7 linked regions of the Ovis aries genome follow. The protein of the gene in region 4 interacts with the protein of the main gene of each other region in a pairwise test. Links are inferred from orthologs where the notes say so. Each region holds a gene or a part of one and is shown on either strand. Other genes may lie near its edges.

The links.
Region 1: the proteins of HOMEZ (region 4) and DNTTIP1 interact in binary tests that used the Homo sapiens proteins (3 or more experiments, as listed by UniProt). The two-hybrid records come from large-scale screens. The link is inferred for Ovis aries from reciprocal best matches to the Homo sapiens genes HOMEZ and DNTTIP1.
Region 2: the proteins of HOMEZ (region 4) and AEN interact in binary tests that used the Homo sapiens proteins (3 or more experiments, as listed by UniProt). The two-hybrid records come from large-scale screens. The link is inferred for Ovis aries from reciprocal best matches to the Homo sapiens genes HOMEZ and AEN.
Region 3: the proteins of HOMEZ (region 4) and NCK2 interact in binary tests that used the Homo sapiens proteins (3 or more experiments, as listed by UniProt). The two-hybrid records come from large-scale screens. The link is inferred for Ovis aries from reciprocal best matches to the Homo sapiens genes HOMEZ and NCK2.
Region 5: the proteins of HOMEZ (region 4) and MED18 interact in binary tests that used the Homo sapiens proteins (3 or more experiments, as listed by UniProt). The two-hybrid records come from large-scale screens. The link is inferred for Ovis aries from reciprocal best matches to the Homo sapiens genes HOMEZ and MED18.
Region 6: the proteins of HOMEZ (region 4) and DEF6 interact in binary tests that used the Homo sapiens proteins (3 or more experiments, as listed by UniProt). The two-hybrid records come from large-scale screens. The link is inferred for Ovis aries from reciprocal best matches to the Homo sapiens genes HOMEZ and DEF6.
Region 7: the proteins of HOMEZ (region 4) and SH3RF2 interact in a two-hybrid assay, tested with the Homo sapiens proteins (2 studies listed by BioGRID). The two-hybrid records come from large-scale screens. The link is inferred for Ovis aries from reciprocal best matches to the Homo sapiens genes HOMEZ and SH3RF2.

Annotation. Positions count from the first base shown.
Region 1 is NC_056066.1:74,556,241-74,560,390, reverse strand, and holds part of DNTTIP1 (deoxynucleotidyltransferase terminal-interacting protein 1), read right to left. Parts: intron 3,575-4,150; coding exon 3,516-3,574; intron 3,417-3,515; coding exon 3,356-3,416; intron 1-3,355. UniProt on the Homo sapiens protein: Increases DNTT terminal deoxynucleotidyltransferase activity (in vitro). Also acts as a transcriptional regulator, binding to the consensus sequence 5'-GNTGCATG-3' following an AT-tract.
Region 2 is NC_056071.1:18,981,481-18,985,630, reverse strand, and holds part of AEN (apoptosis-enhancing nuclease), read right to left. Parts: intron 2,583-4,150; coding exon 1,979-2,582; intron 1-1,978. UniProt on the Homo sapiens protein: Exonuclease with activity against single- and double-stranded DNA and RNA. Mediates p53-induced apoptosis.
Region 3 is NC_056056.1:60,725,021-60,729,787, reverse strand, and holds the start of NCK2 (cytoplasmic protein NCK2), read right to left. Parts: upstream 3,288-4,767; 5' UTR 3,167-3,287; intron 3,038-3,166; exon of another isoform or gene 2,819-3,037; intron 2,689-2,818; exon of another isoform or gene 2,481-2,688; intron 1-2,480. UniProt on the Homo sapiens protein: Adapter protein which associates with tyrosine-phosphorylated growth factor receptors or their cellular substrates. Maintains low levels of EIF2S1 phosphorylation by promoting its dephosphorylation by PP1.
Region 4 is NC_056060.1:21,431,896-21,435,346, reverse strand, and holds part of HOMEZ (homeobox and leucine zipper protein Homez), read right to left. Parts: intron 659-3,451; coding exon 1-658. UniProt on the Homo sapiens protein: May function as a transcriptional regulator.
Region 5 is NC_056055.1:238,803,549-238,808,364, forward strand, and holds the start of MED18 (mediator of RNA polymerase II transcription subunit 18), read right to left. Parts: upstream 3,013-4,816; 5' UTR 2,865-3,012; exon of another isoform or gene 2,854-2,864; intron 2,079-2,853; exon of another isoform or gene 2,014-2,078; 5' UTR 2,008-2,013; coding exon 1,935-2,007; intron 1-1,934. UniProt on the Homo sapiens protein: Component of the Mediator complex, a coactivator involved in the regulated transcription of nearly all RNA polymerase II-dependent genes.
Region 6 is NC_056073.1:9,421,033-9,424,234, reverse strand, and holds part of DEF6 (differentially expressed in FDCP 6 homolog), read right to left. Parts: intron 2,333-3,202; coding exon 2,224-2,332; intron 2,036-2,223; coding exon 1,737-2,035; intron 695-1,736; coding exon 528-694; intron 430-527; coding exon 231-429; intron 1-230.
Region 7 is NC_056058.1:54,887,796-54,892,505, reverse strand, and holds the start of SH3RF2 (E3 ubiquitin-protein ligase SH3RF2), read right to left. Parts: upstream 2,978-4,710; 5' UTR 2,896-2,977; intron 1,816-2,895; 5' UTR 1,703-1,815; coding exon 1,325-1,702; intron 1-1,324. UniProt on the Homo sapiens protein: Has E3 ubiquitin-protein ligase activity. Acts as an anti-apoptotic regulator of the JNK pathway by ubiquitinating and promoting the degradation of SH3RF1, a scaffold protein that is required for pro-apoptotic JNK activation.

The sequences.
Region 1 (4,150 bases), on a different chromosome or scaffold from region 4:
CTGTGAAGAAGTGATTGGAGGTGGCTTACAACACATGTGGCTATTAAGGTGACCAAATTTTTTAAAGCAAAAGTCAGGACACTTCATGCCCTGGAAGCAGAAGAGCATCTTGGGTCAGAACTTAATTGTGGGGTTCAGAGCTCAGCCCATAGGGAGCACGTGTGGTGGGGAAAGTTGGAGATGAGCATATGCGCAGGTGGCCAATTTGGCCTGGTGGGCTTTTAGGGGTGGCAGGTTAAAAAAAACAAGAAAGAAAAGAAAAAAAAACCTGGTTCATAAATCTTGGTTTCTTCTACTTATTAGGTGGTGTAAATCGAGGCAATGATTTCTTTGAGACTCAGTTTCTTCATTTGTAAAACAGAGGGTATTAACACTTATAGGACTGTTGTTGAAATTAAAGGAGTCAGCACATCCCTGTTGGTCCAGTGGATTAGAACCTGCCTGCCAATGCAGAGGACCTGGGTTCAGTCCTGGTCGGTGAAGATCCTACATGCCGGGGAGAAACTAAACCTGCGTGCCCCAACTACTGTGCGCACATCCAGCAACTACTGAAGGCCGAGCACCTGGAGCTGGCGCTCCGCCTCGAGGGAAGCTCACACACCACAACTAAGAGTAGACCCTGCTTGCCGCAACTAGAGAAGGCTGGACACAGACCCAATGAAGCCAAAAAAATAAATAAATAAAATTAAAAAAAAAAAAGAAGGGCTTCCCTGGTGGCTCTGTGGTGAAGAGTCCGCCTGTCAGTGCAAGGGATGCAGGTTCCATCCCTGATCTGGGAAGACCTCACATGCCGAGGAGCGACTGAGCCCACGCGCCACAGCTACTGAGCTTGTGCTCTAAAGCCTGGGAGCTGCAACTAGTGAGCTCAGGAGCCGCAACTACTGAAGCCCGTGTGTCCCAGAGCCTGAGCTCGGCAACAAGAGAAGCCCGTGGAGTGAGAAGCTGGTGCATCCCAACCAGAGAGCAGACCCTAAGGAGGGGCTCTCCGAAAACAGAGAAGAGCCTGTGCAGCAACAAAGACCCAGCACAGTCAAAAATAAATCTTGAAAAAAAAAAAAAAAGTAAAATGAGGGGGACTTAATAACATGGACGAATCCCTTAAGGTCTTATTCCCTAGATTTATAGTGGTCAGCACACTTTTTCCATAAATACTTTAGGCTTTCCTGGTCACATAATCTTTATTTTTTCTTTTTAAATTACCCTTAAAAAATGTCATCACTCTGCGTTGGACAAAAACAAGGCTACGCTGGATTTGGCTCCAGGGTATACAGCTTGCTCTACATTAGACTGTAAGCTCTGTGAGGGCAAGGAGCTGTGTGTGTCTGTTTTGCCCACTGCTGTATCTCTGCAGTCTGAGACTGCTCAGTACTCAATAGATATTTGAATGAATGAATGAACAAATTTTGGGGTGAAAAAAAACTTAGAGCAATATATATAGGATAAGACCAATAACATAAACAAAACATCATTAAAGGACAAGGACACATAGACACACATGGGACTGAAAATGCTACCATGCTGCTGGGGGTAACCTCTAGGGGAGAAGAGTCAGAGTCAAGAGGGAAGCGGAGCTTGGTGCCTTGTTCCCCATTAGCTTTAGAGCATTCTTTGAATCTTTCTACAAGAATGGGTTTATATATTATTTCTATAATTTTAAAAAGTTAAAAACAAAAAGGAAATTTGCAAAATGCCTTTAGAAGGACAGAAGAATGAGTAAAAAGGTATAACGGGCAGTTTATAGAAGAAACACAAAAACTCTAAATGGATGAAAAGATGCTTATCAACACCAGTAAAGAATTAAAAGTAAAAAACCAAAAAACTTTCCCCTCTACTTATTATTCTGAAGAGACTAATGTAAGAGAGAGTATCTACTGGCCATGAGTTTATTACCAACAATGGGTCTAAGAACTGGGAAAATATGCTGGTAATGCTGACAATTTACTGAGCCCTTGCTATGCTGGCATTGTCTGGGGGCTTTATTGTGCTTTATCTCTCTCTCTCTCTCTTTTTTAATAGAGGAAGTCCATTTTTTTTTTTGAAGTATAGCTGATTCATGATATTGTATTAATTTCAATACAATTGTACAATTGTACAATACAATGATTCAATGTTTTTATAGACTATACTCCTTTTAAAGTTATTACTACTGACTTCCCTGGTGGTCCAATGGTTAAGAATCTGCCTTCCAATGCAGGGGATGTGGATTTGATCCCTGGTCAGGGAACTAAGCCTGTGAGTCACAACTAAGACCCAATACAGCCAAATAAGTATTAAAAGGAAAAGTTACTACAAAAAAGGCTGTTTCACTACATTCTCTCTTAATTCTACCAACCATAAAAGGCTGGTTTGCATCCTTCTCATTTTACAGAGGACAAAACAGGCTCAGAAATGTGGAGCCACTTGCCCAAGGTCACGTGCTAGTAAGTAATGGAATCGGGACTGAGATGATACTCTTAACCACTGCACAAAAGGACCTGGAAGGAGGTCTAAGAGCATATCCATTTGGCAATGATGCCAGCGAGGGTCTTGGACAAGGTGGATCTAACAGAACAGTCAGGCAGAGAAAAGGGTGGGGGTGGCGGGGGAAGGTCATCAAAGGGAACAGCAGGAGTGGAGACACTAAGGGAGGAAAATGAAGTAGCAGCACGCAGGCCGAAACATAGGTTGAAAATCCCAGAACATAAGACTGATAAGACAGAAGTAGCTTTGCCCTTTAAAGAACTTGACCTTGCACCAAATGTAGCGGCCAGAGCCCCTGATTCTGAGACCCCAAGGAGCTGTTCTGACAAGGGACACCGAGTCTTGCACAGAGGTGCAAAAACCATTAACCTGAACACGTGCATGTTACCTTTCTTCTAATATATTTGGATGCTTCTGTGACTGATAAAATACAAACTTATCTAAGAGCATGAATTCATGCCCTCCCCGCTCCATTATTTTCTCAAATAGTGGAGACCAAAGCATAGCTCAGACGAGGAGTCCCCTCTTTGGAAAACGTTAGAACTGCTGCTCCATTGCGATCTCTTTATTTCGCAGACAACTGAATACAGCAGTGGTTAAGAGCTCAGGATCTGCAGAAGACAGAATCCTGACTCATGTCCAAGAGGTAACGTAAGCGAAGCACTTAGAACCATGTTAGACACACAGCAAAGAGACGAGGACAGGAGCTATGTTATGAGGCACAGAGGCACTGAGTCAATTACAAAAAGGAAAGGTTAAGGGCAGAGGGGCCACTAGAACCCTGCTGCCCTGGCTCCTGGGTCAGGGTTTACTCCAGGTTCCTCTGGGCCATGGAGAGTTCGCAGCGCCGTCTACTCCATGGCCAGGGTTGGCCCGACTCCTGGCACTCACGTACCTTAAAGAGGTGTGGGTGTTTGATGTAGATCCTCCCTCGGGTGCCCCCCATCCCCAGGGCCCTGCAAGGCAACAGATGAGTGGTGAGGATCCCAGCAGGCGTGGTGCTCAGGGGGACCCCTCAGGGCCCCTCCCTCAGCACCAACTCCGTACAGACTTACTTGTTGGCTCGAGATCCCAACACGAAGGTGGTAGATTCGTTCAGCCGAGCAGGGTCCCACTGTGCAAAAGACAGAGAGGCTGGTGAGGTGGAGGTTTATCTGGTGGGCAGGACAGAAACTCTCCCCTACAATCGTCCTTGGCCATTACTCAACAAACAGCTGATTTAAGAAACTGAATACTTTTAAACTACTGGACACTGTGCTATATACTGTGGCGGGGGGAATGGGGGGTTGAGGGGTAAGGGGATGAATCAGGGACAGTCTCTGTTCTCCACAGGGTCACAGACGCACGTGCGGATAATGATACGACTATAAGGCGGGCGGTGACACAGATGAGTGCAGGGCCTGATGGGAGTCAAGGGGAGGGTAACAGAAGGGCTTCCTTGAAGGGTGACTCCCAAGGTGGCGCTGACAGACAGCAGAGCTGGACAGCGAGAAGGGAGGCAGGAGGGGCAGTGCAAGCAGGCAGGTGACGGCTGGGGCGCTTGCGGAGAAACCACAGAAGCTCTGTGCTGCTGAGAGAGCGAGCATTCGGAGGGTGGCAACGGCTGGGGCTGGAGGGAAGCAGAGCGGGGCTGGGGGTGCTCGTTCACTACGTGGACGGCTTTTTATTTGTTTATCCTGGAGGTGATGGA
Region 2 (4,150 bases), on a different chromosome or scaffold from region 4:
CCAGGCCTACGGGCCTGCAAACCCCTTGAACCCTCTTCCCTGGGCTCGCATCTCCTTATCACCTGCTGCCAGCCTCCCACAGGCACCTCTGCTGGCAACACACGGTTTATCACTAAACTCAGCTTTCATAGCATACGGATAGACACATTTAGACTTCAGTGGTAGGGATGGGCCACCACCCCACACACATACACACAAGCCACATGGTGGGAAAGGACTCAGCAGACCCCATTCATACTGGCCCAGAGCGTGGGCCAATCCAGCACGGGCCAAGAGACATCCCTAGGAGCTGGGGGTTACCACCCGTCTGCCTTCCTGCTGCCTCTATTCCTAATCAGCTCACTTGAAACATCCATTTAAAAGAAATGCTTACACTGTATCTGCTGTGAAAAAGGAAGACACAAGATGACTTGTATCAATATTCCCTAAATGTACCTCATCCCAAGAATAAACCAGAAATGTTAAGTATAGCTTTGCTATAATGCTTGGTTTAAAAATGCAGAATGGTCCAACCTGGTTGATGTGACTTGAGAATAATGCAGATGTTGCCCTTGATAAACACTGAATGAATGCAGAAAGCATACCCAGGTTAGCAGAGCCACGGGGGACTCTCAGACGTCTACCAGCCAGCTTAGCTCACCTGCATGCTTCCCATATCCTAACTTCAAGTAACACCCTTAACCGCTCCACCACAGCACAAGCCACCATCCTCTCGACAGCTACGTCCCTGAGCGCTCCAGGTCTTCTCAAGGCAAGTTCAGTTCAGTCGCTAAGTCGTGTCTGGGTCTTTTCAAGGCAAGTTCAGTTCAGTTCAGTCGCCAAGTCAGGTCCGACTCTTGGCAACCCCAGGGACTGCAGCACATTAGGATCCCCTGTCCTTCACTATCTTCCGGAGTTTGCTCACAGAGCACCATATCAGTAAATTTATACTTTCCTTAACCACTGAACCTGTGCAAAACTGTGCTTCCACTGTTTCCATAATTGGGACCTCCTGTTTTATCTGGGGGGGTCATTGATAAAGTTTAAGTGTTGTGTCTCTAACCCCATTTTCCCCATCAGCTCTAGGGTCTTTATCATGCAGGTTTGTACAGCATGATGGTTTTTAGAAACACACATCAGTTCCCTCCCAAGACCTAGAGTCTTGCAGGATCAGAATCTCTAGGGAGAGGATCTGGGACAAGAATCCAAGATTGTTAATAAAGATTTAGGTACATTTCCTACGCTCAAGGGTGTTTGGGAGTTCCTGGCATGTTAGTGTGGCCCCAACCACAAATTAATTTTCCTCAAAGCAATGAGTCCCTTGGACAGCAAGGAGATCAAACCAGTCAATCCTAAAGGAAATCAACCCTTAACATTCATTGGAAAGACTGATGCTGAAGCTGAAGCTCCAATACTTTGACCACCTGATAGGAAGAGCTGACTCATTAGAAAAGATCCTGATGCTGGGAAAGATGGAAGGCAGGAGGAGAAGGGGATGACAGAAGATGAGATGGCTGGATGGTGCCACCGACTCAATGGACATGAGTTTGAGCAAGCTCTAGGAGGTGGTGAAGGACAGGGAAGTCTGGCATGCTGCAGTCCATGGGGCCACAAAGAGTGGGAATATGACTTAGTGACTGAACAACAACAAAGCAATGAAAAACTAACAAAAAAATACCAAAATGTTAACACCTGGAGGTGACAGCACTAAGGGCCTTACACATTTTATGCAGACACGTAGTACTTTTATAACAGAAGAAGAAAATGCAGAGTGTAAGCTGCTTCCCATCTTGTGGGAAAGGCACAGCCTTTCCACACACACCACCACGTGGGACAGCCAGCAATCGCTCCATGCAGGGAAGGCAGGATTTCTACTCATCCTTTCCTATGGAGCGGAAACCCACTGTTTGAAGAAGCTTAGTAAGGCTCCCAAGGTCTCTCTGCTTCCAGTGGCTACGTGTTAGCTCAGACCCGGGCTCAGCCCCCGCCCTGGCCTCACCTCTTTCTGGGCCACCTGGAAGGGGATGGCTTTGCGCATGTGCTGCCGGGTGATGCCGCTCCAGCGCGTGCGGTAGTCCACGATGGGCATCTCAGGCCGGACGTACTTGTCGTAGAGGACCTCGCCGTAGTAACTCACCACGGAGCAGCGGGCCAGCTCGCTCACCCGCCCTCGGGGTCCCGTGCCCACCATCTCGCAGTCAATGGCCACGCACTTGCTGGGCAAGGGGCCGGCAGAGTCCCTGGGGGCTGGCTTTCTGTTGCACCCAGCACCTTCAGATTCAGCCCGCGGACGCTGCCTGGCACTGTCGGCCCCTTCTGTGCCTGGCGGGGCCCCAGGCAGCATAGGCAGAGAGGAGGGTCCTGGCTCCCGGAGTGGGCTCAGCAGCCCCTGCTCCTGCAGCAAGGCCTTCCGGGCCATGAAGCGCTGGTGCTGTCGGCTCTTCCTCTTGTGCTTCCTCCGAAGCACATCCTTGGCATTCCGGCTGGCCAGGGAAGGGCTCAGGCACTGCACTGACTCAGGAGCTTCCTGGGGTACCATCCCCATCTGTGCACCACTCAGGGCCAGGGAGGCCTGGGAGGTGATCTGCCAACAGGGCAGCAGCCTGGGAGAGAAACAGGGCAGAGGGGCAGGGTGAGGAACAGGCCCGGCCAGCCCTGCCCCCCCACCCGCTCCCTCCAGCCAGTGCGCAACTGCTGTACAGTGTCTCAAGACCCCAGACAAAGCCAAGGACCTGCTTTAATGATAACTGCACTCATAGGGTCAACATCACCTGCAAAATCACTGTCTTAAGTACTTTACATGGAATCACTCAATCTTTCCCACAACTCAGAAAGGTATTATTATCCCCATGTTGTAGGTGCGAAAGGTGAGGCATGAAGGCTTAGTAATTCATCCAATTAATAAACAGACAAAGGCTGATGTGAACCCAGAACCCAGGCTTTCAAATTCCACACCATAGCCTACCTCCAACATTGTTAGCTTAAACTAAAAATTATGAAAAACTTTTAGAGAGGTTTAAGAGAAAATAAACAAAATGAGAAAATAAAGATTACAGAGATGTTACATATATACGAAATCCCATTTTGGATAAACAAACAAAAGCTTTATGCAGTGTAAAGGTAGAACCTTTCCTACCCACAGTAGAACCTAGAGAAACTATCTCACAGGAAGCCCACAACAGTTGTATTTTTGATATGTGTTAACCAAAATGACATATCTATCAACTGACTTTCTAATTCACTCGTCATAACACTGTCTACAAACATTTAACATAGTTGGACTTTGTAGTGTAATCATGGAGGCCTACAGGCATAGGTGTGTGCTGGTAAACCAGCTCAAATCTAAACAGGAGAAACAGAAAAGAGCCCTGATGTACAGTGCTGTAGACTTCCGTGGTCCCTCCTCCACGCTCTCCATGCCTGAACGCTGGGTTGACAGGAGATGCTGTCACACACCATGGTCACAGGAAACAGCTGTTTGCTCCTGTGGGTTTACAAACCCCATGCAAAGACTGGCATCTTCCAAATCGTCAAGGATGCAGCTTGGGAAGCCTCATCTCATTTGCTGTGCTAAGTCATAAGTCAGCTGGTAGATTTTGAACAGACCACAAAACCAGCGCTTTGAAGTAGTCAGAGCAGGGACTAACTCAGCTCAGAATAAGTACCTAACCAATTCAGGTTCTTTGCATGTAAACCCACCCTTCCCTTGTGAATAGGAAATGGTAAAATCCATGTGTATTTTTAAAAATTATTATTATTTTAAAAGTTACTGGAGTATAACTGATTTACAGTGTTGCTATTAACTTCAGCTGTATAACAAAGTGATCAGTTACACACACAAATATTCCTTTTCATGTGCTTTTCCATTATGATTTATCACAGGATATTGAATATAGTTCCCTGCGCTATACAGGGGGCTTCCCCAGTGGGTCAGTGATTAAAAAAAATCCACCTGCAATGCAGGAGGCGAGGGTTCTATCCCTTGGTCCTGAAGATCCCCTGGAGGAGGGCATGGCAACCCACTCCAGTATTATTGCCAGGAAAATCCCATGGACAGAGGAACCTGGCGTGCTGTAGTCCATGGGGTCACAAAGAGTTGGACATGACTGAGCATCTAAGCAGCAGCAGCAGTGCTATCTATACTTGTTTATCCATCCTATTTGTAATAATT
Region 3 (4,767 bases), on a different chromosome or scaffold from region 4:
CATATCCTGGAGAATTGTGTAACACAGCCTCATCCAGTTGGGGGCAACTGAAGTGACCAAGGAAGAGGATCTGGTCATTCCAGACAATCAAGAAGACTTTAGGGTATTTTAAAAGGTTATCCAGGGCTTCCCTGGTGGCTCAGAGGTGAAGAGTCTGCCTGCCAATGTAGGAAACACAGGTTTGATCCCTGGTTCAGGAAGATCCTACATGCCGTGGAGCAACTAAGCTCACGTGCCACAACTACTGAGCCTGTGCTCTACAGCCCAGGAGCGGCAACTACTGAGCCCACATACAGTAACTACCGAAGCCTGTGTGCCTAGAGCCCATGCTCCGCAACAAGAGGAAGCAGTGGGTGGCAAGAGAGGCCCAGAGCAATGAAAAGTAAAAAAATTAAAAAGTTATTCAGTTTGTATACACACAAGAAAGATTTTGGGTATGTTTAACATGGATAATAGCGCACTTCTCAAATACCGTGTACATATGATGCATTTGCTGGAAAATCTCAGTCATCGCTTGATGCAAACAACAGAGGCTGGGAAACATCACAGCTTCCAAGAGAGGAGGGATGAAGAGACCTGAAGTGCAAGGCATGTGATAAAGAAAACCTCAAAGTCTGACAAGTGAGCACAGCTACTTGAAATCACCTTAATCAGGCCCCACATTAAGTGGGGAGAGAAGGTACTGGGTCAGTCTGTTCTCTGGACGCAATTCACCACCCGACTTCATCCCATGTTCCAGGAGCAATCCCGCAGCGTGTCTAGGGAGCAGCTGAGAAGCTTGAAGCCCAGATGAGGCCTCTTTGGTACCACCAGCTTACCACCGCTTTAAGTTTCCAATTTCAGCCTCAGCTAGCTGCAGCCAGAGGACCGCTAAAATCTGGCAACTTTGTTCAGTCAATGCTGCTGCTGCTGCTGCTGCTGCTAAGTTGCTTCAGTCGTGTCTGACTCTGTGCAACCCCAGAGACGGCAGGCCACCAGGCTCCTCTGTCCCTGGGATTCTCCAGGCAAGAGTATTGGAGTGGGTTGCCATTTGCATTCTCCCTCAATTAACACTACATCTAATCAACCTGGAGAGGAGAAACATCAATGTAGGATTTTCCCTCCCGGTCACTGCTTCAGAATCATGGTTAACACTCACATCTGGGGAAACCCCTGTTCCGACCACCTAAAAACCTACATGGACAGCTCAGTCTCGCAGTTGAACCCACTTCATCTCCTGTGCACCACTGCCCTCCTATTTACTAAACCCTTGGCCCAGGCTCGATTCCTGTTATTAATTTACCCGTTTATTAATATCTGGGGACACCCGGTAAGTGAATTACGGGTAGTGTTTGGAAATAAAGTTTAGGTCCGCTGTGATAACTCAAAGCACCAGAGTGATTTCATTTTCAGTCTCTTTTAGCCTTGAAAAGCCCTGTTGCCAACGATACCTGATGCAGAGGGACAAAACACGCCTCAAATTACTCTCATTCCTACTAAATCCCTTTGGCGAAGCCGAGGAGGAAGCCGGGCAGGGACCAGGCGGGACTCTGCTACCTCGGGGTTCCCACCCCAGGCCACACCCCGTAGCCTCTCGGGGTTCACTTTCTTTGGGGTCAAGGGCAGGAGTGGGCCTGCGCGGGCCCAGCGCTGAGGCCTGCTCATCCCCTGCGCATACCCAAACTTGCCAGGCTCAGCCCCAAACCTGTTGGCAAAATAAACAAAGGCAAACACAGGGGACCCGACCTAGCCTGAGTGCCAGAGGTCGCCCCGCGCCGGCTCCAGCTTTGTCCCCACGCGGACGAGCTGCCAGTGAGCCCAGAGCCCCGGCACACGCGCAGCCCTTTCAGGGCGACCGCCACGGTCCACACACGAAAGCGCTTTGCAATCACGCCCCCCACTCGCTCCACGCCGAATGCGCTCACGAGGGAGTTACCGTCTACGCCTACAATCACACACCGAATTCTTCCAGAACCGCTGGGTGGTTCGATCGCCCAGAATAAGCTACCAGGGCAGCGCGATCGTGAGAAACTTTGTTTCCGGGGCCGGCGATCCCCGGTCGGACGCGGAGCCCGGCACGAAGCGCCTAGGGGCCGCGGGAAACCTCCCGGACGCCAAGTGACAGCAGCTCCGCGCGGGGTCGCCAACAGTCCCGATCCCAGAAGTTGTGCGGGCCGCGCTCGCCTCCCGGTCCTGCCTGCGCGGGGCCGGCGATCCACGCGGTCCTCGCCGGCGGCGCGCCCGGCCTCCCCGGTCCCCGCTCCGGGACCACCGCGCAGGCCTGCCCCGCCCGCCCGACCCGGGGAGGGGGCGAGCCGGAGGTGCCCGCAGCCGCGAGGCCAGGCCGCGCAAGCGACCGGGCCCCCAGCCCCGGCTCCGGCCCCGGCGCGCCCCGCCCCGGCTGCCCCGCAACTCCGCGAGCCGCCCAAGTTGACGGCCTCCGCCCGGGCCCCAGCCCCTGAGCCCCGACCCTCGGGCCCCAGCCCCCGGCCCCCGCTTACCTCGCGCGCCGCGCGCCGAGGCCGGGGCAGCGGCGCGGGTCCCGGGCGGCGGCCGCCCTGCGCCCGCCCAGGCGCCGCTCTTTGTCTGCGCCGCTCGCTCCTCCCGCCGCTCGGCCGACGCTCCGGCCCGGGCGGACCCCGCGGGCCCGGCCGACCCCCGCCGCCGAGCCCAGCGCCCGCCGGCCCGCTCGGCTCCGGCCTCGCTCCCGCCGCGGCGCCCCCGCCCCTCCCGGCTGCGCCCGCCGCGCGCCCTTCCTCCTCCTCCTCGTCCTCCTCCGCTCCGCCCAGTGACGCCGCCGGGGCCGCCCAGGCCCGCGCGCCCGCCGCCCGGGACCCACCTGGGCGCGCACGGCGGCCCGGCTCGGGCGGCGCCGGGGCTGGCTCGAGGCTCAAACGCGGGCGCCGCCCGGCCCGGAGGACCCTGCGCGGGGCCGGGCCGGGCCGGGCGCCGAGGGGAGGGGAGGCCCAGCTCCGACCCTGCGCGTCCGGGAGCGAATAGGAAGACGGGAGAGGCGAGAGCAGCAGCAGCCCGGCCTCGAAGGACCGACGGGTGGTCTGTCCATCCCCTTTTTGTTTGATTTTCTTATCAGGACGCGCTGGGGCTTGGCCACCGCCCCCTCTCCCGGAAGCCTTCCCACGGCACCCTCGGCGGAGCAGGCCTGCGGTCCATCAGAAAAGTGACTTACAGAAAAATGTCACTTCCTCCGTGTAGTTGCTTCTGGGCATTTTTATTTATTTGCCTCGTATCTATTTACTTTCCCAACCAGACACTTTTTGACTCCCTCGTTATCGTCGGAAGCAGTTCTTAAAAGCAGAAGAGGAAACCACAATGTCTGTTCCTCCCTCTGTGTCCAGCTCAAACCCGCCCACAGGGCGAAATCCTGGGTGGAACTGCAGGAATGTAGGTCCCAGGAGTTGTCACTGGTGGTGGGACCGTCGGGCCGCCTGGCCACATGCTTACCTGTAAACACACTTGGAAGACTGAAACCCAAGAGGAGGGGCAAGACACAGGGTTCCTTAAACAGGCACATGTATCCAGATGTCTGTCATCAATCTCCCCCCACGTGGCTTCCCCAAAGGAAATCCTACTATTCAAATGATTCTGATATCCTGGTGGAATAGGCCGGATCCATGTTAATGAGGGTCTTCCTTAGGCTCCTGGCCTCTCATTATATTAAAGCAATCGTAGTTTACCCCAGGTGACAAGATGATGTCACTGAATGAATGCCTCTTTCCCAACACAAGTACCCAAGGAGGGTCCTGGAGCCAGTATATCTTTGAAGTCCCAGTTGAGTGTTTGACTGTCTGGTTCTTCAACTGTGGAACAAGAGTTTCTTACCCTATCTAAAATCTATCCAACATGGAGATAATATTTGCCCAGCTCCTCTGGAAGTCCCTGGCATACTTCCAGGCAGTAGGAAGCACTCAGTGGTCAGTGGCTGGAGGGGATCAGGGCACTGAGCCACCATCAGTCCAAGGTCAGGGTGTCAGAGACAGCCACCTGTTCTACATCCTTGAGAAAGAAGCTTCCTCAGTCTGTTGTTTTGTGAAAACTTTGTCTTCCTAAGAAGGAAAGCAGAGTTTATAGTAAATGGTCTGGCCCAGTTCTAAATTAGTTTACTCAAAATAGGTATAACAATATTGACCCAGTTTTTTGCTACTCCTCTGCTTTGTAACCTTCACTGAATGGAGAGTTGAACTCCTCTTCCTTCTCTGGGTCTTTGTAAACTCACCAAGGACATTCTCTGTCTGAAACCCAACATCTCTTTCTCAGTCTTTATCTGGTGCAGTTTTCTGTGCACATTGCATTTCTGCTGTTTCCTAAAATGCAGTCATCTATCTGTTCATTTATCTAACATCACTACCTTTCTAACTTATCCATGTTTGTCCTTATCTGGCATGTTCTAACCTCCAACAGTTATATACCCAAAACAATATTGGCCCATTTGTTTTCATTAATATGTACCTTTCTTTTTTAGAGAGGCTCAATCATTTTTTTGTATATTTCCGGTCTGATTTTCGGGGGTTAACTTTCAAACCTACAGCCTTAGGGAGCTCCCAGCTCATCTGCCATTCCTCTAGGCAACTGATAATCTCTTGAGTTTCATCAGGTTCAGAATGAAACTTCCCAACTGAGCTCCTCCTCCAGTGATCACAGGCAGGGCCAAGAGGCCATCAGGCATCTCAGCTCCAGAGAGAAACCTTGTTGAAATTCGACTTCTTCCTTCCCTCTCCCCAAGCTTGGCCTTGGCAGGACCCAGCATGGGCTCTGTCCTCAGGGTTCTAA
Region 4 (3,451 bases):
GACTGGTCGGGACACCTGCCTGCCTGCTCCTTGGAGAGGCCACTGCATTGATGATCCTGCCAAAATTGCGATTGATGGGGGAATGCTCCACTGCCAGGTACCATCAGGGTCTCCTTTGCTTTCTGGTGATTCAGTGGCTCCTCAGGCTCTACCTTCAATCCTTTCATCTGGGTGGGCTCGCTAAGAGTCAGGGGCACTATTCCAAGACCAACTTGTTCCGGAGGTGGCACAGGAGAAGGAGGCACTTCCTCTGGGGGCCGCCCTGCATGATGAGTAAAAGAGAGAAGGGATTTGAAATGGAGTTGGTCCCGATGGTAGACTACTCGGGCTCGAGTCTCTTCAATTTCTTCAGATGACCAGCTAATGCCACAGCGAAGGCGCTGGGCCATGAACCAAGTCTTGACTTTCTCCATCTGCAGCCCATAGCGCAGGCAAAGAAGGGCAATGTCTGCTAAACTGGGGTAGGGGAAGTAGCTGAAGGTTTGGAGCAAGTGTTCATTGCTGTCCAGCTCACTGGTCTGGGCTGCTTGGGTCCACACAAGCTGTAGTTCCTCAGAGATTGGAGGGAGGCAGATGAGGCCCGCAGGGGAGCTATTAAGGCTGCTGGCCTCTTTATTAGGAGGCATGGTGCTTTCTGATTTGTGCCCTTCAGAGATAGCTGTAATAAGAAGAGAAACAGCTCGATCACTGGGGTTCCCCTTTCAGGCCATTGCTCAATTTCTACCAAACAAAACGTTGGGCTCCAAAAACAATTTTCTATGTGTACTGTACTGGATTGCTTTTAAAGTGTTTAACAATTTCTCATTTAATTTTCATAACCTTATAAATCATCAGAGCCTGCTATAATTCCCCCTATAGGTATGAAAAAACCAAAGTCCAGAGAAGTTAAATTATTCCAAGTCACAAAAATAGTGAGTGTTGTCACCAAGATGATTATCTGACTTCTGAGGTTAAAAAAAAGGAAAACATCCTTAGAGCCTTTATCTTTCCCCTTCAAATTCACTTCACCCTCTAAGTTCATGCAACAAGAGTGACAGAATGAAGATTCACCTAGAAAACCCAAAGAGATGTATGTAATCTCAGAACACTTTAGCTCCTAACAGACTATTTCTTGAGTTATCTCTAGATTATCTCTAAAATGTGGAAGATTAGGAATACAAAGTGTGAGAATCTAGAAGGTACAGAAGGTAGAACAGCACTGTCCCTCTACCCAGCTCCCTTTTCTTTTCTTCTTTTCTTGGTGGTGGAGTGTTGCGGGAAGGTGACTGAGTTTAATTTTTTTCTAAGTCTCATTAGGATGAGATGGGTCAATGATCTGGGATGAATGGAGTTCCCCTTGGTTTTGATCCGGAGAGGGTAGAGGGAGGTGAATGTTTCCTTCCCCAAGACTTCCGCAGAACAAAGGTTATTCCCCTTTTTCCCAGCCTTTGTCTCTTCCAACTGCTGTCTCTCTCCAGGAAGCCTAGAGAGCTCCCTCAGACCTTAACAGCCGCCTCCACACAGGGCGGGAGGCCTGCAGCTCTTATCTCTTCAGTCCAGCTTTCTTCTTGGAACCAGGTGGGCAGGCTCATTATAAACTGTAACCAGGTCCTGCAAGCTACCCAGTGGCACCAGGGCTCCCAGGCTCAACATGGGTGTGGGGACTGCAGAGAAAGCCTCTGACTGTGCTTTATTCCTGGAAACCTGCCCAAGCTATTTCCCAGAATAATTCTGGGCCCCAGTTTGACTTTTTTTTTTTTTTGCCACGTGGCTTGTGGGGATCTTAGTTCCTCAACCAGGGATTGAGCCCATGCCCCTGCATTGGAAGTGCTGAGTACTAACCACTGGGCCACCAGGGACTTCCTGGTGATGGAGTTTTAACTCAATTCCCTGTTAAATGTTCCCTGTGTGGGCATTAGAGACTAACATTATCTGTCACCCTTTACTTTTCAAGGACTCCCATCTGAGTTTACAAATAGTCCCTGTAACACATTACGGAGAGGACAGCATGCCTATGTAAAAGTTACAGATAGAGCAGTGTAATATCGGAAATTTTATATGATGAACAGAAAAATTTGGCAGCATTCTAATGCATGTCACCATTCCCTTTTAACAAGAAAATCTTAACAAACTGAAGGCCATGCAGACCTTGAATGCAATACAGTTTGAGAACCTTCAGAGGGTAAGTGGAGGCAGCATGGCATAGTGGATATGAATGTGATTAAGGCCAGCATTACATAGGAAGTTTGAATCCCAGTTCTGTCTGAACTTACAGGCGCCTCAGTTTCCTCATGTGTAAAAACTGAAGATAATGTTGAGCGTATGTAAAGTTACATATGTTTTTACAGAGCACCTACTGTGTGCTAGGTGTTGTATAGGCGGGGCCTAGAGCTGTTAGAGGTAGAGGTCTAGGGTGAGACAAATCTGAGATGAATCACAGCTTCACCACTCCCGAGAGTGCTTGCTGAAGCCTTAGTTTCCCATCAGAATAAAAGGTGATAACAGCATCTACCTGCAAGGTTATGACTAAAAAAATGCAACTGACATTATGCCTATACTAAAGGCTCAATAAATTAGAGTTTTTATCATTGCTTCAGCATCATGGGATGATTCTGAAAAGTAATGCTCCTCCTAGGCAACAGGGGAAGTGAGGCAAAGATGGAATATTTTAAATTACTGTATCCAATCTGTTATTGCAGAGTCCTAATTCTAATGGGGGAAACCAGGGTATCTGATTTTGTACTTTTTATATTTGGGGAGTTGGATATAATTCCAGAAAAGATTTTGCTGCTTTTTAAAAAAGTATCAAAATGACTGCTTTAGAGAATCTATAATTTAGATATAAATCCTTTTTGATTGCTGCCGGGTGAATTTTGATTGCTGCTACCCAACAGGTTCATCTCAAGACACAGCTGAGTGGCTGTGAGGAAGTGCCTGCATGGGTAGGTACTTAAAACCACCATTTGGAAGTTGTGGCCCACCAGGAACACCACTACATCTAAGCTGGAGAATACTTGATGATCCAACGCTCGACACCCACTCAACCTTATTCGTGCCCTATTTTTTTAAGGTCGTGGCGACAGTTTAGACGTGAGGAAAAGGTAGCACAAGGAATAAAGCAGTCCAGTGTGAGGTGAAGACTGCTAGACAGGGAATAAGGCAGGTGCAGGTACCAGCTGACAAGGAAACAGGTTGCTTTCATTCGTGTGGTCTGCTATCCTTAAGATTCTCATGGCTTGATAGTTCAGTGTAACAGTACTGCAAAGGTCATATTTGGTGTACTGCATACATCCACATTTCTTCAGTAACACAAAACACAAGTTGTGAAAGACTTTGATACAGAATGGTGCTTTAAAATTAGGACACAGCAGTAGAGCTGGTACCTCCCTGGAAGAATCTGGCTTTGCTATAGGAGGAAACTAGAACCAGTTCATGAGAACTATAACAAAGAGGGTAGATCCTACAGTAATCA
Region 5 (4,816 bases), on a different chromosome or scaffold from region 4:
GAAGAGGAGACCTCTTTGAGGGCTTGGAATAGTCAGAGAAGATCTCTAAGGGAATGACAACTGAGTTGAGGCCTGAGGAATAAATATGAGATGGCTATGTGAAGGGCTGGAACAAAGTATAGACGCCGGGGGATCAGAGGTAGCAAAGAGCTTGGGGAATCCAAAGAAATGAAAGTGTGGCTGAAGTATGGTAAGCAAGATGGAAGATGATCATGAAATGAGCATTTGGGATGGGCCAAAGCAGGCAGGACTTATGTGTCGCCCATGCTAAAGGCTGTATTTTATTGTACGGCCACTGGGCAGTTATTAGCTCCACACTTTATTCTCCATGCAACAAGGAAAGATATGACTGGATTTACATTTTAAAAAGATCATTCTAGGAAAATTGGTATGGATGCTTCAACCAGACAGGGTCACATGAAAAAAAGTGGCAATGAGGGGAGGCGGGTCCAAGTTAAAAAAGGCTTAAGAGACACGGTTTTCATATGTAATGCATGAGATGATATTATGCCCTGGATCAAAACACAAGATGGAGGAAACTTCTGAATATGAATTATATATTAGATGATATCAGAAATATACTATGACTCTTTCAGGTAATAATGATAGTATTGGGGTTATTAAGGAAAATACGCTTGCTTTTTTAGAGATGAATACTGAAAGTGTTTGGGGGTAAAATGTTACGAGATCTGAATCTGTCTTCAAAAACGGCAAAAGGAAAAAGATAGAGCAAATATGGCAAAAGGTCAGAAACAGACATCTAGATGACTAGATCTAGAAATCTAGGCTGACTGTTCACAGGAATTCCCTGGTCATCCAGTGGTTAGGACTTGGTGCTCCCAATGCAGGGGACCCAGGTTTCATCCCTGGTTCAGGAGCTAAGATCCTGCATGCCATGCTGCTGCTGCTGCTAAGTCGCTTCAGTTGTGCCCGACTCTGTGCAACCCCATAGACTCTATTTTCTTTTCTCTGAGATTGATTCCTGAATGCATGGCTTAAGCAACTGATGACTGACAGCGGCACTTACTGAGATGGGAAAGGCTGAAGTAGAGGCAGATTGAGGAGTGCAATTAACAATTTTATTTTGTCCATTGTAAGTTACTAAACGGATGATCTGAATTAAAGTCTAAATTCTTCCACTAAAGATTAAATGACCTCCAGAAAATCATAACCCTCCCTGGTCTTGAGCTTTCTCATCTGGGAAAGTTACTTCACTTCTATTTCCTGATCTAGAAGATGGAACTAATAACAGTATCATAACATTACCATATGATCTATTAATCTCACTTCTGGGCATTCACTCCTAAAGAATCCAAAGCAGGATCTTGAAGAGGTATGTGCACACTCATGTTCACTGAGTATTATCTATGATAACAATTTGGGTAGAAGCAATCCAAATGTCTGACAGACAAACGAATAAAGAAAATATGGTATGTACATACAGTGGAACATTATTCAGATTTTTAAAAGGAGATTCTCTTACATGCGAAAGGGTTAATGTTGAGGATATTATACTAAGTGAAATAAGCCAGTCATAAAAAGACACATACTGAATGCTTCCACTCCTATGAGGTTATCTAACGTTGTCAAAATTAGAAACATCAAGTAGAAAGGTTGTTGCCAAGGCCTACGGCAAGGGGAAAGGAGGAATTAGTGTTTAACAGGAATAGAATTTCAATTCTGCAAGATGAAAAAGTTCTAGAGATTAGCTATACAACAATGTGAAATACTTAACATTACTGAACTGTATGCTTAAAAATGTTTAATATGGTAAACTTAATGTTATGTATTTGTGACCATAATTAAAAGTAAATTGGGGAATAAAAGGGTGCCAGAAATTATGCAGGTAGCTTTTATATAACAGCCTCTCATCTCCATGGAAAGCGGAACAGAAAACAGGAAAACAGGTAATTCAAGCTCCCTAGTTCACTTACCCTGCAGCAGGTACTCCATCATGTTAATGGTGCCCCCGGTGACAGGCATCATGGTGACTGGAGGTGCCTCCATGTTTATCTGTTTAAGTTGAAAACGACAGAACTAGATTTGGAATCCCCAGTCAGGTAACACACAGGATACACCTGGGGAAGAGTTATACTTGTTAATACATGGGAGAGGCAGAGAGAGACCAGATCTGCTTGGGTCATTGGCCTGGAGATGAAAATTCATTCATCCACCCATTCAAAACTTTAGTAACTGCTATAGGCCAGTTTCAGGTGATCCAGAAATACACAAAGGAGGCCTGATCATGGAGTTACAGCATAATCTTTCAGTCTCAAGGTCTGAAACCCTTCAATGGTTTTCTGTGCACCCTGGGACTCAATGTCTTTCTTCTAAAATGAGGCCATGATATTAACCCCCAAGTCTTTGTGGCTCAGATGACATAATGGACCTGCAACTAAAGACTGAAAAGTGACTTAAGGACTCTTGTATGCCCTTCAATTTACAGATGAGGATGTTGAGGCTTGGGGAGGAGCCTAAGGACACACAATAGGTGGGTGGCAGAACCTATACCAGACTAAAATCTAGGCGTTCCACCTCTCTAAAAACCTTTTAAAGAGATTGAAGCGAAAGCACGAAGTTCTTTCCACTGATGCTTTGTGTTAGTCGTTCAGTCGTGTCCGACTCTTTGTGACCCCATCGACTTAGGCCTGGCTTCTCTATCCATGGGGCTTTCCAGGCAAGGATACTGGAGTGGGTTGCCATTTCCTTCTCCGGGGGAATCTTCCCAATTCAGGGATCAAACCCGGGTCTCCTGCATTGCAGGCGGATGCTTTACCGTCTGAGTTTACTAGGGAAGCCCCAATGATGCTTTAGGGCCTCCTAAACCCAGCATCAAAACGTGCCCACTTATACCAAAAACACACCGCCAAGCGCGTTCCAGCCTCTTCCAGGAAAGCGGGGGACCGTATTCACCCGAGCACCTCGGAGCTTTCGAGCAACAATCACCACCCCCAGCCCTAAACTTGAAAACCCCTAGGCAGTGCAACAATTCTCTCGCCTCTTCCCACGTCTGACAAAAACCTTTCGTCGCGCAAACCTCGACACCGCCACTCTGCGACGTAAGGGTGCCGAGAGGACAAAAAAAGTCTCTTCCGCTGTACGGCAAGCAGGGGCGCATGCGCAAACTCCGATGCTGCACGGAAGATGGCGGCCTCCTTAGGAGGGGTCCTTTGGGAGATTCAGGCGGCATTGCAGTCATACGCCATCTTCCAGGAAAATATTTTTTTCAACTGTGAAGACCTGGACGTGTTTTTGTCCAGGAAATCTCTTGGACCTGAAAGGACAAAGAGACCCTGGGGAAGAGAGCTTCAGAAAAAGAGGAGAGATTGTCGTAAAACAGAAACTTATTTTGGGTGGGTATCTGATGATAGAACTTCCCAGTTGCTCAGCGGTAATGAATCTGCCTGCAGGAGACACAGAAGCCTCTGGTTGGATCCCTGGGTCGGGAGGATCCCCTGGAGGAGGGCACGGCCGGAGGTTCACTCAGAACAGCTCCCGCTCCTAAGGAAGAGCTGCGCTTGGAGACTTTTGGTCCTCATCTGGCCCCTCCCTCCGGCCGGCGTGCGCGGCCCCGCGGGGCTGGGGTGGGGCCCACCTGCGCCTCCTGGGGGGCGTGCAACCCGCCTCAGTGGGACTCAGTCTCCTAACCACCGCCGCCGCCACACCTTACATCAGTTTGGCTTCTGATGTTTTCATTTCCCTTGCTGAGGTGCTGCTTCTGGGTTAAAGTCATCTTATTGCCTGTCCATTTGTAGACAGGACAAGGTCGCTCGAATAGATCAGGAGTCGAGCTCAGAGTGGGCTTCCCTGGTGGCTCAGATGGTAAAGCGTCTGATCCCCTGGAGAAGGAAATGGCAACCCACTCCAGTACTTTTGCCTGGAAAATTCCATGGCCGGAGGAGCCTGGCAGGCTACAGTCTATGGGATCGCAAAGAGTCGGACACGACTGAGCAACTTCACTCACTCCGGCTCAGAGTAGGTCAAAAGTACACACATGTTGGGAGGAGTGGGAATCAAAACAGAAGGAGGGTTGCCAAGTACAGCCAGGACTAGGTGTTCACCATGTATGCTTAATAAAGGCCAGAATCTCATCTGTCTCTGGTGGGAGGGTCTGTTGGTTTCACTGGATCGAATTCAACCGATCCGAACCAGTTTCATGGAATAAAACACTGGACTTCGGTGGCCACTGTTCCCATCAAGAAAGGATGGTCGCGTTTGGAAGTAAACATGTTGGAGAGCTGTAAACACCACAAACCTAAATACAGGTCACAAGGCTGAAACTGGGTCTAATCAGACCTGAAACCAAGGAAAAGAATTCGGCTTTTCCAGCTGGCTCTCCTATGAACTTTTGATGGTTTACTGCAGCTGGATTACAGGCACTTCCGAAGGTAGTGAGTCCTGTGGTGGGTCTTCCAGGCAGTTCTGGATAAGAGGCACTTTCCAGACTTCAAGACCGCAGAAGAAAAGTGCAAGAGTCAACTTTGAGTCAAGCTCAAAGGTAGTAGATCCAGGGACTGACAGATTAACCTACAAAAGTGACAAGAACAGTGGGAAAAACTAGCTGTTCTGCCCCAGGGGTGAGGGAAAATGTCTCAAATTGCAAACACTTACATCTATGATGCCCCAACAGACTTTATTGATTTTCAGTCAAATCATGACAAAGACACCGAAGGCATAGATTCTTCATTTGAGAAGGCCAGTTGGAGGATAAGGTACTGAGAACTGTGGAAAAACACCCTTTATCCTTTGATTCGCTGAAGAAAACACCAGTTACAGGAAGAAGAGAGAAGAACTGCAGACAGGTGAGGTGCCCTTC
Region 6 (3,202 bases), on a different chromosome or scaffold from region 4:
CTTACTGAATATTAAGTAGCACGTGCTATCTTGTTTAATCTTCATAGCAATGCAATTACCAGTCCCTTTTCTCAGATGAGGGACTTGGAGCTCAGAGAGGTTAGGCCATTTGTCAGAGGCCACACAGTCAGGTGATGGTAGGGCCTGAGCGATAGAGCTCCAGGGAAGGTTCCAGAGCCTGTGCCGCGGCTCACCCCGCCACCTGCGACCTGTTCCACCCCAGGCCTCACCTCCACGTCCTCGTCGGCCCTCTGCCGGTTCTGCCGCACCTCCTCCAGCTGCTGCTGGGCCTGCTGCAGAGAGCGGCTCTGCAGGGCCATCTCCTGCTGCAGCTCCTGCTTCTCCTGCTGCGCCCGCTCAATGTAGCGCTCCTGTTCCTCCTTCAGCTGCAGCAGCTGCTTCAGCTTCTCCTCCTCCTCCTCTAGCAGTCTGCGGGGTATCCACTGTGTCACCTCCAAGGCTGAGGCACCTCACAGGTGCTCGACAGGTGGGAGGGTGGGGGCGTCAGGGAGGGGCCACCTTTCTACCTGGTCTGAGCGAGGCGCACGGCCTCCTCGTCCTGCCGAGCTTTCACCTCCAGCTGCAGGGCCTCCTGGAGCCGCTGCTGCATCTCCTCCAGCTCCTTGATGCGCTGCTGCTGCCGGGCAGCCTCCTCCTTCTTCAGCTCCATCTCAGCCTGCATGGAGGCCCGGGCCTGAATGGGGGACAGGGAGCCAGGTTAGCAGGGGCCCGGCAGAGGAAGGCTGCCGGTATGCTGCCCTTTCCCCAGGGCTTTGTGAGGCCAGCCCAGCTAGTTATCTCTGGATGAGGGTCTGGGGAGTTCCTTCAGGTCAGATTTTCCTGATCTGATCCCCTTCTGAAAACCTGACTAAGTCTGATGAGGATCAGTGAACCACATGGGGGAAAGGGGCTCAAGTCATTCCCTTTTTAGCACCAGCCTTAATAGTTATTATTATACATTGTAATATAATGTTTCATAATTATAATTAGACTAGTGGTAGCAAGGGAATGACTATAATTATAATTGTGAGAGCAATTATAACTCAAAAGTATTTCCTTAGTTGATCCTCCTTTCCACAGCTCTATAAACCAAGTTCTATTGGCATCAACATGTCACAGGTAACTGAGGCACAGAAAGGCCAAGTAACTTACCTGAGATCACAGGGTTCCTAAGAGGCAGAGTTGGTATGGAACCCACAGTGTCTCGACTCCAGATCTAGATCTCTTAAATCTTAAATCTAATTGCCTCTACATCTCTAGTCCGTCTCCAGGTTCATCCCGCCTTCCTCCCATCCTACCTTCTCCAGACTGGCCTCGTTATAAATTCAGATCAAGTCAGGTCCCACATAGTCCAGCCTCGGTCCAAATTCATCCCCAGACACAAGGTCTTTAGCAGCTCCTCTGTCAAGGTCCCGCCCGCCAGCCAGGTCTCCCAACCTGGCTTCACTCTACACCTATCTCTCCACTCCATCCTTCCCAATTCGTAGGCTCGGGCCCCGCCCCACACCATCTCTCCTCTCAAGCCATCCTTCTGCCAAGTCCCTTACCCTATAGGCCCTGTCCCCATCCCATACCTATCTCTGTCCCCCGCCAAAATCACTCAAGACAAGCCCCACCTCCACGCTCATCCCTCAGTGCGTGGCTCCGCCCCCAGCCCAGGCCCCGCCCCGCGGCGCTCAGCTCCTGGCGGGGGCCTCAACCCTCGGCCCACCTCCTCTGCCCGGGTGCAGCCATACCTGCTCTGCCTCGCGCAGCTGGACCTCAAGCGCCTGCTGGAGCTCCCGGTGCTGGTTGCGGCGCCGCTCCTCCTCCTCCTGCATCAGGCGCTCCGCCTGCCGCTGCGCCTCTTGCAGCAGCTCCAGCTCCTGAAGCTTCCTCTCCTTCTCTTCCTGCAGCTGCTGCAGTCGCAGCATCTCCTCCTCCTTGGCAGCCCGGCGCCTCTCTCGCTGCTCCCGCTGCTCGCGCCGCTTCTGCTTCAGGTCCTTGTGCAGCGACGTCTTCCCCTCGGCCTGAAGCCGGATCGCCGTCTGGATGGCTGCGGAGGGAGCGGGAGGGGCTAGCCGAGGACAGGGGGGCCTCCGGGGGGCCCACCGCCAGAAAGGGGCCTTTGGAGTGGCTCCTATCCAGCCTCCGGCCTCCTGCTGGGCAAAGGGCTCTCACTCTCTTTTCACCGATGAGGCGACTGGGGCCCAGCCAGGTCCAGGCCACCCCGCGAGCACTCACCAGCTGTCCACTCCTGGCGCTGGCGCGTGTCGGAGGCGCTCATCTCATAGGTGCGGGAGGCAGTCTTCACACAGAACATGCAACGCTTCCCCTCTCGGTCGGGCAGCACCTGGGAGAAGGCCCAGACAGGCTGGCTTCACTGGGGTCAAGGGCCACACCTGCCCCAGGGGGGCTCCAGCTCCAGCCCCTACCCCCTTGGCTGACCATCATCTCCTCCTGACACCCCTTCCACCCACTCTGCCAGGAGTCTGCAGGCCGGGTTTGGAGGTTAGTGTCCCCACAACTCTTATAGCCTTTGCGCATTGAAGATGGGACAGCTCTCCTATTACTATCTCTCTGTGGGGCCTACACACAGCGACAACTCAGTGTTTATCCAGATCAGGGCTCAACATCTCTCATGACAGGGTCCTCACTAATGAGACCGTTCATTTCCGCAGAAGCCTGCCTGCTGAGAAAGTTCTCCATTCATTCATTCCACAGATATTCTGTATTGTCTACAGGCCACTCATTGCTCTGGGCATATGGGATACTACTAAGACGTGCCTAACAGACCAAATCCCTGCCTTGCTTAAGCTTACATTCTAGTGGAAAATAATAGCTACCCACTGAGCTTCATGTGTTCTAGAGTCTGTATCAGGCATAGATTATTAGCTCCATCTTACACAGAAAGAAACTAAGTCTCTAAGAGGTCCAGGAACATGCCTGATTCACACTGCATGTTAGTGGTGGAGCTGGATTTCTGCCTAGATCTGTGCTCTTTGCACAATGATAGTTGTTTCCTTACATGACAAAGATGGACACAGCCTAGAATGGCTACAATAATGTTTTTCATGTAAAATAACAAGTGTTAGTGAGAAATTGGAGCTTTCATTTACTACTGGTGAGAATGTAAGATGGTGCGCCACCATGGAAAAGAGTTTGGCTGCTCCTCAAAAATTAAACATAGAATTACTGTGTGATTCAGCAATTCTACTCCTAG
Region 7 (4,710 bases), on a different chromosome or scaffold from region 4:
TCCCGAGCCTATTGTCCTTCGTTGGGAAGGAGTCCGGGGAAGACCCTCCCACCCTCTGCTACTCTTCACAGCAGGGAGTCATGGTTAAAGTCCTGGTTAACTGCCAGGGTTAAAGCTTGCTTTATGTGGCAGTTCACAGAATTTCTGAGTATGCCAACCACCCACCCATGGTGTGCCACGCCCACTTAGACACACTGACTCTGGGGATGACAGCCAATAATCCTCTTGGAGCCACAGGACCATGATCTTCTCTTGAGTTATCCCCTTCCCCAGCTTCCCAGAATGAGGCTCACAGGCAGGTCATATAAAGTCCCGAGGATGTGCCCACAAGGCTGGACAGGACGATTCACGTTGTCCAAACACAAAATGCATTACTGGGTGATCTCCTGTGGCTCACCTGGGGCGCTTCATTTTTCATGGCAGGCTCTGATGTGCATTTTCTGTATGGTTTATTCATTTTGTAAAGTAAGACACATCTTTGGGGCTTCTGTACATGTCGGTTGTACTTCACAGCCCAGCCTTTCCTGTCAATCACTCCACCCACATAGATGCTTCCTTCCTGATCGAACTTTGTGCGTCCAGTGTCTTGATAACTTTGAGTGATTGTGAATGAGCATTGTCATCATGGCACTTTATGACTGGGAGTGGCAAGATGGATTTGGGTAAAATGCAAACAAAACCTGACATTTAGTAACTTCTCTGAGATTGCAAAAGTGACAAGCAGTTGGATTTGTTTTTCTTTTTCTCATCCTCTGTGCATTTCCCATGCCCTGGTTTGGCCTCAGAACAGCAGAAATGAAAGACCAAGAATATAATCAAAGGACTTCCCAGGTGGTCCAGTGGTTCAGAATCTGCTTGCCAATTCAGGGAATACGGGTTGGATCCCTGGTCCTGGAAGATCCCACATGGCAGTAGTAACTAGGCTGTGTACCACAACTACTGACGCAGGCTCTAAGCCTGTGCTTCCAAACAAGAGCAGCCACTGCAATGAAAAGCCTGCACACCACAAGAAAGACCCAGTGTAGTAAAAAATAAACAAATAAATAAACAGTCAAGAAGGCTTTCCATGTTCTACCACCTTCTGGACCAGAAGCAGGGAGGACCTGGGTAGCTTTAAGAATTTTAAAAGTTCCTGATTGGACTGGATAGGCTCAGGGTTCCACTGAGTCTCAGTACGACAATCACCACCCACAGAAACTTATCCTCAGGGAATCCTCGGCAGCGGCTCTTTGAAACAGAGCTAAAAGAAGAGAAGCCCCAGCTGCTGGCGCGCACAAACCCAACCTCCAAGGAAACACGAAGGAACAGATGAGATCTTTCTTACCCCATCCATGTGGATTCTGACGTTAGGCACCAGCCGGAAAGGACTGCACTGCGGACCTCTGGGGTGAGTCCTGCTCCTCCTGCCGTCCTGCGGGGTCAGCACGCCAGGCCGGCGGAAGGACCCCCCTCTCCCCGAGCCCTGTCCGGCCCGCACGCCGTCCAGGAGGCGCACGAGCAGCAGGTTGGCTGGCAGCGCCTCGATGCTGCAGAACACCAGGGTCCTGCACTCGGGGCACCTCAGCTCCTTGTGGGCCTTGAAAATCCTCTGGAGACATGGCTTGCAGAAGGTGTGCTGGCAAGGGAGAACTTTGGCGGTGACATCGAGCTTTTCAAGGCACACGGGACACTCCAGAAGATCAAGTAACGTCACGTCATCCATTTTATTTTAAAACTCCAGTCCTGACCTGGAGGGGCAGAGTCCACATGGTCTGGTCAGCTGAGCCAGTGGGGGTAGAGACGGGGCTTCTTGAGAGCGTCAGGATGCCCGCTTGTCTGAAGGAGAAAGGAAGACGGAAAAAATTGTGATTGCCTTCAGAGGTATATCCCACCTACAGGAGGCAGAGCCTCATAAGGCGGTTCGCAGGGACTTTGTTTCCGCACCCAAGTTTCAGATGACTCATTCTGATTCAGTGCTAGCAGGTAGAGACCTCGACTCCTGCCTGCTGGAGGATGCGAGGGAGCAGCTAATACAGCTTCTGACTGCTTGCCGGACTAACTTACTCATTGCCTCTCCGTGAGCAAGGCGAGAGAAGGGAGACAGAACTGACCCGGGGCTCCAAGGAGGAAGCTTTCCAGCAGTCCGTCTGGATCTCAAATGAAAGGCCCCTCAGGATGTAATTTCCCTGAAGCTATTTTCTCTCTTTCTCTTCTTTAAGTGTATCTGTTCTCTGCATCACACTGATAACAAGCTGTTTACATAAGTGTATGGGAATCTCCCGTAGTTGTAGAATTCTATCCTTCACAGTACATCTTCCCCCTTTATTTTGTTCTAGCAATGTACAATTTCTACGAGAACCTAATTTTCAAAAATTGTTTTGCCTCAACTCCAGGCTGTGGAGCTTGAAAGTTTTTTCTTTCTTTTCGTTCCTCTTTTTTTCGCCTTCTTACCTTGATTATCTTAGCCTCAGAGACACCATCCCTCCCATAGATAAAGTTGCACAGCCTGTTTTGTTACTTTGACAACTGTTCTGTTTCAACTGAAGCAGATAGGAATTTGGGATTGTGGTCACAGCCTGCAAGAACCAAGATGGGGCAGCCAATACAGGGGTGTGTGTGTGTGTGTGTGTGTACGTGTGTGTGTGTGCGCGCGCGTGTGTGTGTGTGTATTCTGAACAGTCTCCTTGTGGGTGTCTGAGAAGTCCCCCTCTTAAGGAAAGTGGCTTGGGAACAGGTCCCGGTCCCTCTCAGCTCCAGGGCTTAGGGGAACGCTAGCCGGAGGGTTGGCACGAGCCAGTGGCCCCACTGGTGTAGACAGGCAGACAGGACAAGCCAGGCTGGGAGAAGGCGCCCGCCCTCCGGAGACAGCTCCAAAGATGTCAGCACGCGGAGGTGTGCGGGGTGGGGGCCACTAACCTTGAGCTGGCCACCCGGGTCTGAGTTCAGCTCAGCACTGTCCTCGATGCTCCGCCAGGCTCCCTCCACCGGCTTCCGTTTCCCCTGGAGCTGCTGCTGCCGCCGCTTTGAAAACTTTAGCTCGAGTCTTAACTCATTTCAGGGATCGCCTTACCCAGCCCGGTTAACGCTTTCACCGCCGTTCTGCCCTTTGCGCTCTCACGCTCTGCTACCAATCATCCTTCCTTTGTGGGAGTCGATTTCAGGGAAAAGATTACAAGCGGGTAAAATACAAGTCAATTGCCTCTAAGGTTAAGTACCGACCAAGTTTATACTTCCCCTTCCTCATTTTCTGTCCTTTCCCGGAAATTGAAACACACTCAAGTTATGAACATGCCAAGGTGATTGTGTTTATTTCAAACCTTTATGAGGATTTCCTGAAAAGTTCAAACGTATTAAGGTAGCTGTGAACACAAAGATAAACGGGTCACCTAAAAAGTACTGCTCTATAAAATCAGCCAGTCCTTGAACTATGAGATTTGAGACGGACTTGAGCGATCTGTTTGCTCAATCTGATGAAATTAAAAAAACGAAACAAAACAACAGTGTTGTCGTAGTCCAGACACATCCTTGAAAAATCAAAGGACAGGAGGGCTTAAAAAAAAAAAGGAAAGTAGAAATAACCTGGTGGTCTAGTGGTCGGAATTCTGAACTTTCTCTGCCAAGGGCTGGGTTTGGCTCCTGGTTGGGAAGCTAAAATCCCACAAGTCACCAAGCTATGTAGCATGGTGCAAATAATAATAATAAATTTAAAAAGGTAAAAAGAAAAAGTAATATTCCAGCTTCTCTTATCCTACCCACTGGAGCCTTTTTTAGCCCCAAATAATGCTTATACTTCTATTTCTTGATTTATCAATAGTATATTTCATTTAACACTTTAACACTACACTACAAAGTTATCCAATAAAGTAAATAATAATAATCATCATTAATACCTAACAACAGAGTAGTGGAGCCCTTATCTGTGCCAAGTACTGTTGTAAATATTTTATCTTCATGAACTCATATAATCCTTCTATCAGCCCAATGATACACTGGCCTCTTACCCTCATTTTATGAAGAAGGGAACAGAGACCTGAGACATTAAATAAGTCATCCCAAGAGACACGGTGATCTGTGACCTTCACTACCATGTCCTGTGGTGACACAGCTTTAAGAGGAGGAGAGATGGTTGAGGTGAGCTGGACCTCATCTAAGACAGCAGAAAGTCAAGAGATAATGACGAAAGTGACCGATCAAATTCTTTGGCAGATGAGGCAGCTGGGAGATTCTTGAAGTTGGGAGATTCCTTGAAGTTGCCCAGTAAGCTAGGGGCAGTGCTGGGACTAGAGAGTGTGTCTTCTCTCTCAGACGTAAGGCTGACAATTCCTTATCAGGCAGAAAGCAAACAGATGGTGGTGATTTGTTTGTTTTAGAAAGTTCTTTCGTGTCAGTTCTGAAAAAGCAAGCATGCTTGACCTTCGAAACAGGGGAGATCTTAGGGATGGAGCAGATGAAGTCATATGTCCCCCCAGGTGCAGAGCCCTAGTTTGGATCTGTGTCAATTTCAGAGATCACTTTCAATTCTTTTTTTTTTTTTTCCCTCTCCCTTTTATGGAGGGTGTTTTGAGTTTCAACACCACCACACCTTACTCTATTACCTGTCTCCTTCAATTAATTTCCAGTTTAGATTTTGTGCTTATCAGGAAGCCCCTTGCCATTTGAGACCCTTTGCTGTCGCCGCTTGGTAAAGCTGATCTGCCTCCTCTGTGAGCGGCCCCTGTCCTTCCACCCTGC